Ovis aries: one gene and its partner. The protein of the gene in region 1 interacts with the protein of each later gene in a pairwise test. Links are inferred from orthologs where the notes say so. Each region holds a gene or a part of one and is shown on either strand. Other genes may lie near its edges.

Region 1 (4,266 bases):
AGTGGGCTAGGGGTGTGGTAATGGCTCTGAAGGGCTGACGATAGGACAGTGAGTCAAAAGTAAATCTTGCAGGAAGTGGCAGAGAGAGGATACAAACGGGGACTACCTCCTCTGACACAAGTGCAACCGGGCAAACCTCTGGCCTATGAAGAAGGTCTCTTCCTCCTCCTGATCTGGCCTTCCTGCCACAGCCCTCCCGAGCTTTCTCTCGGTTTGCTCCCTACAAGCAGGCTCCCAGCTAACGTTCTCTCTCCATGGCCAGACACACTCACCAGGCTCCACAGAGGTCTCCGGAAGGGATCCTGAGGGCTGGCTCACTGAAGTCCTGAGGACAAGGACAGTGGCAAGCAGTCACTGAGCACCACATATGAGCTGGGCACCATGCAAAGTGCTTTACAAACATCTAATTCTCACAACAACTTCAAATGATGATACAAACATTGTCCTCATTTGACAGACTAAAGAAACTAAAGCTTGGCAGGTACGGCAAGCTTGAACAACTTGTAAGTGCTGAGAGTCAGGAATCAAACCCAAACCCCATTTGTTCCCACAATCTAAGCTCGAGCCACTACACAAGGGATGGTACCTCTCATTTCTTTCCCCTTCCATCCCTCACAACCTGAAGAAACTGATGCCATATTGAGGCTGAACTTTACTGCAAGGGTTCACCCTGGGCATTCACAGATTTTCCCCTCTCCCCGCCCCCAGGCTGGTGGGAAGTCCTAAAGCTACCAGAGGGCCCAGCCCTGAGGGACCCCTGTACAGACACTGAAGCACTCTTTTCCAAATGACCCCCTCCTTACTTGCTGCTGCCACTGGTCTCTCTTCTTAGTTCCTGGAAACAGGGAGGAGCGGAGGGGTGAGAGGATGATCCTGAAGGTGGAATCTGAGCCACACAGGAGCAAGAGAAAAAGGAGAGTCAGAAGCAGGCTCCAAACCTTCAGGTTTCACCACCAACCCCATCAGCCTCCATACAACCCCTCTGCTTACCAGGCGGTACCCTCCATCCCAAGGCCCAGCTGTGTCCTTAGAAGGAGTCCCCAGGAGCACCTAGTATCAGCCCCTCAAGAACACTCACCAGAGCCTGCAACCTCTGGGGACACAAGGTCCGACCTCTAGGCCCTGGTCCCTCCAGCCTTGAGAAGCAGGAAGCCCTGACAGGGTCCAGTCGATGGGTAGGGGTTCTGGGGGCCAAATATGCAGAGGCCCGGGCATCCTGGGACCCCAAAAAAGACTCTCAGTACAGACTCAGGATTCCCTCCTCAGCCTACCCCAGCCTGATCTCCTCCTATCCCGGCTCATTACCTGACCCCTCCGGATGGTGCCTCCCTGGCTCCCTCGAACAAGTACTCTCTGAGCCAGACTGGGCTGGCGCCCCAGGCGACAGCTCTTCACCCCCTCACCTGACAGGATGGTGGCCAGGGCTGCAGGGTCAGCCACAAACTCTACGGTCCCTGGAGCCTCTGCAAGGGAAGAAGAAAAGGAAAGGCGAGGAGGGACAGGAAGGAGGGGAGGCTGAGGGGTTGGGGAGCCTAGCATTGTCACCTTGAGGTGCATGAGCCAAAGAGACTCATATAACTGAACTCAGCTCAACAAACATTCACAGGACTTTAATCTGCATAAGACACTATTCTAGACACTGCCACCCAGAGATGAATACGACAAAGCCCCCATCCTCAGGAAGCTAACATCAAACTAGAGCAAGGTAACAGATTCAAGTCAAAGTATGGACATATTATAAAAGAAGTGCAGGGAATTCCCGGGCGGTACACTGATTAGGACTTGGTGCTTTCACTGCCTTGGCCCAGGTTCAATCCTTGGTCCAGAAACCAAGATCCCATAAATTGCATCTAATAAATGAATGCATTAATTAATGGATAAATGAATGAATAAACAAACAAGTAAATAAAGTTCAGCAAATCATTAGAACAAAGAGCAATTGATAGTGACTAGAGGAGCCAGAAAAGGCTTTAGAAGTGATGACACATTGCTGAAGAAAAGAAAGGGCCTCTAACAGCAAAGAGCTTTCTAGGAGCAGGGACTAGGAATTATAGTAAGCAGGAGAGGCAGGATTACAAAGCCCCCAAACCCCACTGCACCAACCCATTCTCCCACCCAGTTCTACAGCCTCCAATAGATACCTGTCTGGGGAGGTGGCCTAGGGCCCACATTTTGATCCCCATGGCTAGGCCTGAGCTCCTCCAAGGGGTTCCGGAGCTGAGTGCTCCCCAGCAATTTCTCAGATTGCTCTGTCTGACGTGTGGCTTTCAGCCTGGGGCCTGCTGAGTCTGCGAGGGGGCGCTGAATATTGAGCTTCTGCCCCAATCTCTAGGATAGGGGAGAAAAAAGCTGAGCTCAGCGTTGAGGTGCATTGCTGCTTCCTTGTAGCTACTGTCTTCACTCCCCCAGGCTCCTCTTACCTTTGGATCTTGGTTCTCCTGGTCCAGGGCGCTGGGTTTGACTGTGGGGAGAGGTGGGCGTCTCTGAGAGCGAATGGGAATCTTGCTAGGAGTGGGAGATACACCCCGGAGGAGAGGATCCTTCGTGGCTTGGAGGGTGGTCATGACGACTACTCCTGAAAAGGAGAAAAAAGGATCAGGGATCAAAGGTCAGCCAGTTCGAGGTTTCGGTCCTGACATTCCAGATACTCCTACCTCCGCCCAAATCCACGCGCCAGAAGACCCGCCGCCTACAAGGGCGCTTCTCGGTCATCTCCTGACACTATGAGCCTACACTTTCGTCCCGGGACCCCGAACTGCCTCTCTTCCCTACGAGCCCCGGCAGCCCTCATTCCCTCCAAGATCTCCGTGCCGCACCTCCCCCTGAACCCCTCAGGGTCTCGCCCACTTTCTTCGCTTTTTCCCGGGACTCTCTCGGCCTCTGCTCCAGGTACTTCCCCAGTTTGTAAAATACGCCAAGCTCCTGATTGGCTCGTCTGCGCTCCCGCGGAGGCGCGTGACGCAGGATTCAGCTATCCAATCTACAGGCTTCGGAGGCGGGGCCAAAAGAAGGACTAGTTGCCGAGCCGCTTTCTGGCCAGGAAAAAAAAATGACCCGACTCAACCAGCCAATCGGAAAGCCGAGCGCGGGGTGGAAGAGGAAAGAGGAGACAGTTCTGAGGTCCAGGAAGGCGTCTGCTCTGAGTCTGGGCAACAACGGGCGCTGGCGAACTCTCGCGAGGTCTCGGGACTGGTGCGGGAAGGTCCAGTCGGCCTTGTGGAAGGGCTTGCGTCCTGAGTGAGGCAAGCTGACGGTGTTGGAGGCTGGCCCCAGCCCCTGACTCAGCTCTGATCAGAGTTAGGCCGTCAAGTTTTGGGGACCCTGTCCAGACGCTTTGTGGGAAAAGTCTGCCTGGGTCGAGGAGCTGCCTCCAAACGGGCGGAGAGGTCTGGAGAAAATTGAACTAACAATAACAAAAATGAAAGGTTACAGTGAAAAAGAGAAAAAAGTTTTCCTTTTTCTCTTGTCCTTTTCTGAGTTCTTTTTTTTTTTACTCTAACTTCCGGATCTGTAGTCGGTAATCAAGGCTAACTTGATATGTAAGCTACATTCTATATGTATCTCCTTTAAACTCTAAATGAGCTACATTGTGTACCTGTAGCTTCTGTTAGTTACATTCTAACTCAATGCTAATCACATCCTGTGTTTAGTGCTCACCTTTACAGCAGTCTTTGCAGAGCCCCCCTTGTAGTTCTCTCTCTCTCTCCTTTTTTCTTATACTACAGAAAGGAGGCCACAGTACAATTCATGAAAGACAATGGACCCAACTGCTGGGCTACCTTACACCGTGGAGAAGGAAATGGCAACCTACTGCAATATTCCTGCCTGGATAATTCCATGGACAGAGGAGGCTCGTGGGCTACAGTCCTTTGGGTCACTAAGAGTCGCATAGGACTTAGTGACTAAACAACAACAGCCTGACTCCAGTCTGTTACTGTTTTTGAAACAATGCAAGAGGAAAAAAAAGACAAGATCCTTACACATTTGTTCCACATTGTTGTAGCCACGTGTTCCAGGAAACAAACTCACTCAGAAGGACAATGCAGATAGTGGAGTGCCGTTAATTACACCGGCGGGCCCAAGGCAGAGTCTCCTCTTAGCCAAGGACACCGACCAGCATTTGTGAAAATCTTTTATACCCCATGTGTACGTATCTGAACCCATCACCCAAATTCCTTGAGACTTACGTAAACTAAAGAAAATACAATCCCAATAACCCCATGATTCACGTGCTATGTGCTCATGTGCTCAAACAGTCAATTAGCC
Region 2 (3,643 bases), on another chromosome or scaffold:
GAAAAAGGTCCTGAACCACGGTTATGACGATGACAACCACGACTACATCGTGCGCAGCGGCGAGCGCTGGCTGGAGCGCTATGAGATTGACTCGCTCATTGGCAAAGGCTCCTTTGGCCAGGTGCGGGATGCCCCTCACCCGACCCTGATCTAGGGGTTGGGAGGTACGGGCGCCCCCTGGTATTGACCCACACAGCCAGTGGGTTCGGTGGCTTCGAGCTCCGTGCTGGGCCTTGTCCCAGCGCAGTCAGTTGATTACTTGTGCCTCAGTTTCCTTTTCTATAAAATAGTGCAAACAACAGGACTCCCCACATAAGGCTGTGTCCCATGTTTACACTAGTGTCTGACTGTGGGTGACTCCAGTTTTGAATGAGTAGTATTACAGATGGCGATACCGGTGGGTGTCCTTGCTGGAGAGAGGGGTAGTCCTTGGCTCTGTTCCCTGTGCCCCCATTCCCTCACTTTGTGACCGGCCGGTGATCACAGGTGGTGAAGGCCTATGACCATCAGACCCAGGAGCTGGTGGCCATTAAGATCATCAAGAACAAAAAAGCCTTCCTGAACCAGGCCCAGATTGAGCTGCGGCTGCTGGAGCTGATGAACCAGCACGACACAGAGATGAAGTACTACATAGGTGAGGCCTGGGGCAGGGCTGCTCGGGATGGGCCCCCCCCCCCCCCACCTCGGTTCGGCCAGGGGCTGGGGTCTTCAGGGCAGGCTTGCCACTTTCACAGTATCCTGTTCACATGAGAATGCTGGTCAGTTTATTGACCAGCTCCCTAAGGGGTCAGGTGCTATTGTAAGAACTTTACACACATTATTAACTGTTGAACCGTCATCACAGATTACCCACAGTCTGGAAATGAAAAAACAGAGGCAGTCAGGTGCCATCACTTGCAGCAGGTCACGACGTTTGCACTCAGCAGTGCTATCACTTGACCAGGCAGTGACCTCCAGAGCCTTTACTCTGTGAGCACCTTTGTCCTCTTTGCTGTACTGATTCCTCTTAGAAAAATCAAGTAGATTGAAGGAGTGTGTTTCTTTTAAAGGGAAGATACACATCTTTACGGTAAATGGACAGCGATTTCCCCTTGTCACAAAAATAAACAGAACTGAGACTAAAAAGTGTTGTAAAATGAAATGAAGTGTAGGACGGTGTTAAAAACCCATCAGCACCAAATAGAAACTTTATCTTTGGTTTAATCACAAAGTCTGACAGATTTGTAAAGAGGTTAACTTCCTGTAAATGAAATTGTGGACATAGGAAAACGTTCTCATTAATAGAGAATCCCATGGTCGGAGGAGCCTGGTGGGCTATAGTCCACAGGGTCGCAAAGAGTGGGACACGACTGAAGCGACTTAGCACGCATGCACCCCGCACGCAGAGCACACTCCAGTTTGGTCTATGCTCGAGAAGCAGACACAGATCCAATGCCAGCCTCTCTCTGTGACTGTGGGCCGCTGGCCCTCGCAGAGCCTCAGTTTCTTCTTGCTCGGCCCGTTCCCGCCCCCTTCCCGGCAGTGCACCTGAAGCGGCACTTCATGTTCCGGAACCACCTGTGCCTGGTGTTCGAGCTGCTCTCCTACAACCTGTACGACCTCCTGCGCAACACGCACTTCCGCGGCGTCTCCCTCAACCTGACGCGGAAGCTGGCGCAGCAGCTCTGCACGGCGCTGCTCTTCCTGGCCACGCCCGAGCTCAGCATCATTCACTGCGACCTCAAGCCCGAGAACATCCTGCTCTGCAACCCCAAGCGCAGCGCCATCAAGATCGTGGACTTCGGCAGCTCCTGCCAGCTCGGCCAGCGGGTGCGGCCCGGCCCCGGGGGCAGGGCTCGGTTTGGGTGTGGCTCGGCTGTGGGCGGGGCCGACTGGCGGCCTGGGTCCGCGGGGCGAGGCCAGGCGGGGATAGCCTTGTCACGTGCAGCCTGATACCTGAGCTACGGTGCTTGGGATGGGGCCAAGAGGGAGGGCCACCGGGTTTACTGCCCAAAGGAGAAGGGAGAGCGGAGCCTGAGGGAACAGGGCCAGTTTTGAGACTGCCAGATTGGAGAGGGGGTGGGGCAGAGGGGTAGTTGGGTGGCTGTGAGCCTGAAAGGCTGTGGCGCTTTGCAAAGTTTTGCTTACCCTGTGCTCTTAAAGCTGGGGATGGAAGGGGCGAGGCTCTTCAACTTTGCTGCTAAGATGATGCTGGTAGTGGCTTGAAAAGGGTCTAGTTTGGGAGGGTGGGAAGGGCCTAGGTTTGCCGGCTGCCAGCCCGTGGTGACTTAGAGGGGCTCAGGACCAGACTAGGCCAGCAGAGAGCCCTGAAGCCGATGAGTACGATAGTGGTGGTGATTCCAGGAAGCTGGTGCTGATAACATGAGGGTTTGGCGCCCCCTGTCCCAAGTGTTGGGGGCAGGAGGCTTGACCTCAGTCGGCCCTCCTAACTTTGGGGCTGTTCTCATAGCAGAGGCTGGGACCTCTGATGGTTGCCCTCTCCCCTCCTCCAGATCTACCAGTACATCCAGAGCCGTTTCTACCGTTCGCCCGAGGTGCTCCTGGGCACTCCCTACGACCTGGCCATTGACATGTGGTCCCTGGGCTGCATCCTGGTGGAGATGCACACTGGAGAGCCCCTCTTCAGTGGCTCCAATGAGGTGTGCTCCCGAGGAGGGGGTGTGCTCCCGAGGAGGGGGAGGAGGCCCGGCCGGCCCAGTGACCCTGACGGCCCGCCTGCTCTCAGGTGGACCAGATGAACCGGATCGTGGAGGTGCTGGGCATCCCGCCAGCCCCCATGCTGGACCAGGCGCCCAAGGCTCGAAAGTACTTTGAGCGGCTGCCTGGGGGCGGCTGGACCCTACGAAGGACAAAGGAACTCAGGAAGGTGCGGCCCCTGCCCCCATGCCGCTCCTCCTACCCCGGCGGCCCCTCACTCTCTCACACTTGGGGCTCCCTCCTCCGTCTCCCCGCTTCCTCTCCCTGTGTCTTTCCCTGTCTGTCCTTTCCTTCCTCCCCCGCCCACCCCCTCTCGCCTCCTACCCACCGCACAGCTCTTCTTAGCTTCTCTCTTTCCACTTTCTCTCTCGTGCCTCTGTTTCCCCGTGTGTGTCTCCCTGCCCCTCCTGCCCACTGACGGCCACTCTCTTGCCCCCCCTCCCACCTCCCCCTGCCAGGATTACCAGGGCCCCGGGACACGGCGGCTGCAGGAGGTGCTGGGCGTGCAGACGGGCGGGCCCGGGGGCCGGCGGGCGGGGGAGCCGGGCCACAGCCCCGCCGACTACCTCCGCTTCCAGGACCTGGTGCTGCGCATGCTGGAGTATGAGCCCGCCGCCCGCATCAGCCCGCTGGGGGCGCTGCAGCACGGCTTTTTCCGCCGCAGGGCTGATGAGGCCACCAACACGGGCCCGGCGGGCAGCAGTGCCTCCACCTCGCCCGCACCCCTCGACACCTGCCCCTCCTCCAGCACCGCCAGCTCCATCTCCAGCTCCGGTGGGTGCTCAGTGCCGGACGAGGGGTCGGGTAGCTCTGATCGGGCCGTGTGGGGCGTGGGGGTGGGGGTGGGGAATAGCTTTGTCACTGGCCCTTGGCCTAGAGCTTTGAAACTATGAGATCCTGAACTCAACAGTGGGTGGAACAGGGGAGCGCAGACGATCCCTGAGCG

Evidence for each region. The genes of interacting proteins can lie anywhere in the genome.
Region 2: the proteins of TROAP (region 1) and DYRK1B interact in binary tests that used the Homo sapiens proteins (3 or more experiments, as listed by UniProt). The link is inferred for Ovis aries from reciprocal best matches to the Homo sapiens genes TROAP and DYRK1B.

The regions. Positions count from the first base shown.
Region 1 is NC_056056.1:136,911,908-136,916,173, forward strand, and holds the start of TROAP (tastin), read right to left. Parts: upstream 2,914-4,266; 5' UTR 2,713-2,913; coding exon 2,655-2,712; intron 2,576-2,654; coding exon 2,421-2,575; intron 2,329-2,420; coding exon 2,142-2,328; intron 1,464-2,141; coding exon 1,306-1,463; intron 1,217-1,305; coding exon 1,079-1,216; intron 887-1,078; coding exon 804-886; intron 326-803; coding exon 273-325; intron 1-272. UniProt on the Homo sapiens protein: Could be involved with bystin and trophinin in a cell adhesion molecule complex that mediates an initial attachment of the blastocyst to uterine epithelial cells at the time of the embryo implantation.
Region 2 is NC_056067.1:48,786,258-48,789,900, reverse strand, and holds part of DYRK1B (dual specificity tyrosine-phosphorylation-regulated kinase 1B), read left to right. Parts: coding exon 1-121; intron 122-486; coding exon 487-634; intron 635-1,522; coding exon 1,523-1,809; intron 1,810-2,492; coding exon 2,493-2,639; intron 2,640-2,725; coding exon 2,726-2,866; intron 2,867-3,155; coding exon 3,156-3,471; intron 3,472-3,643.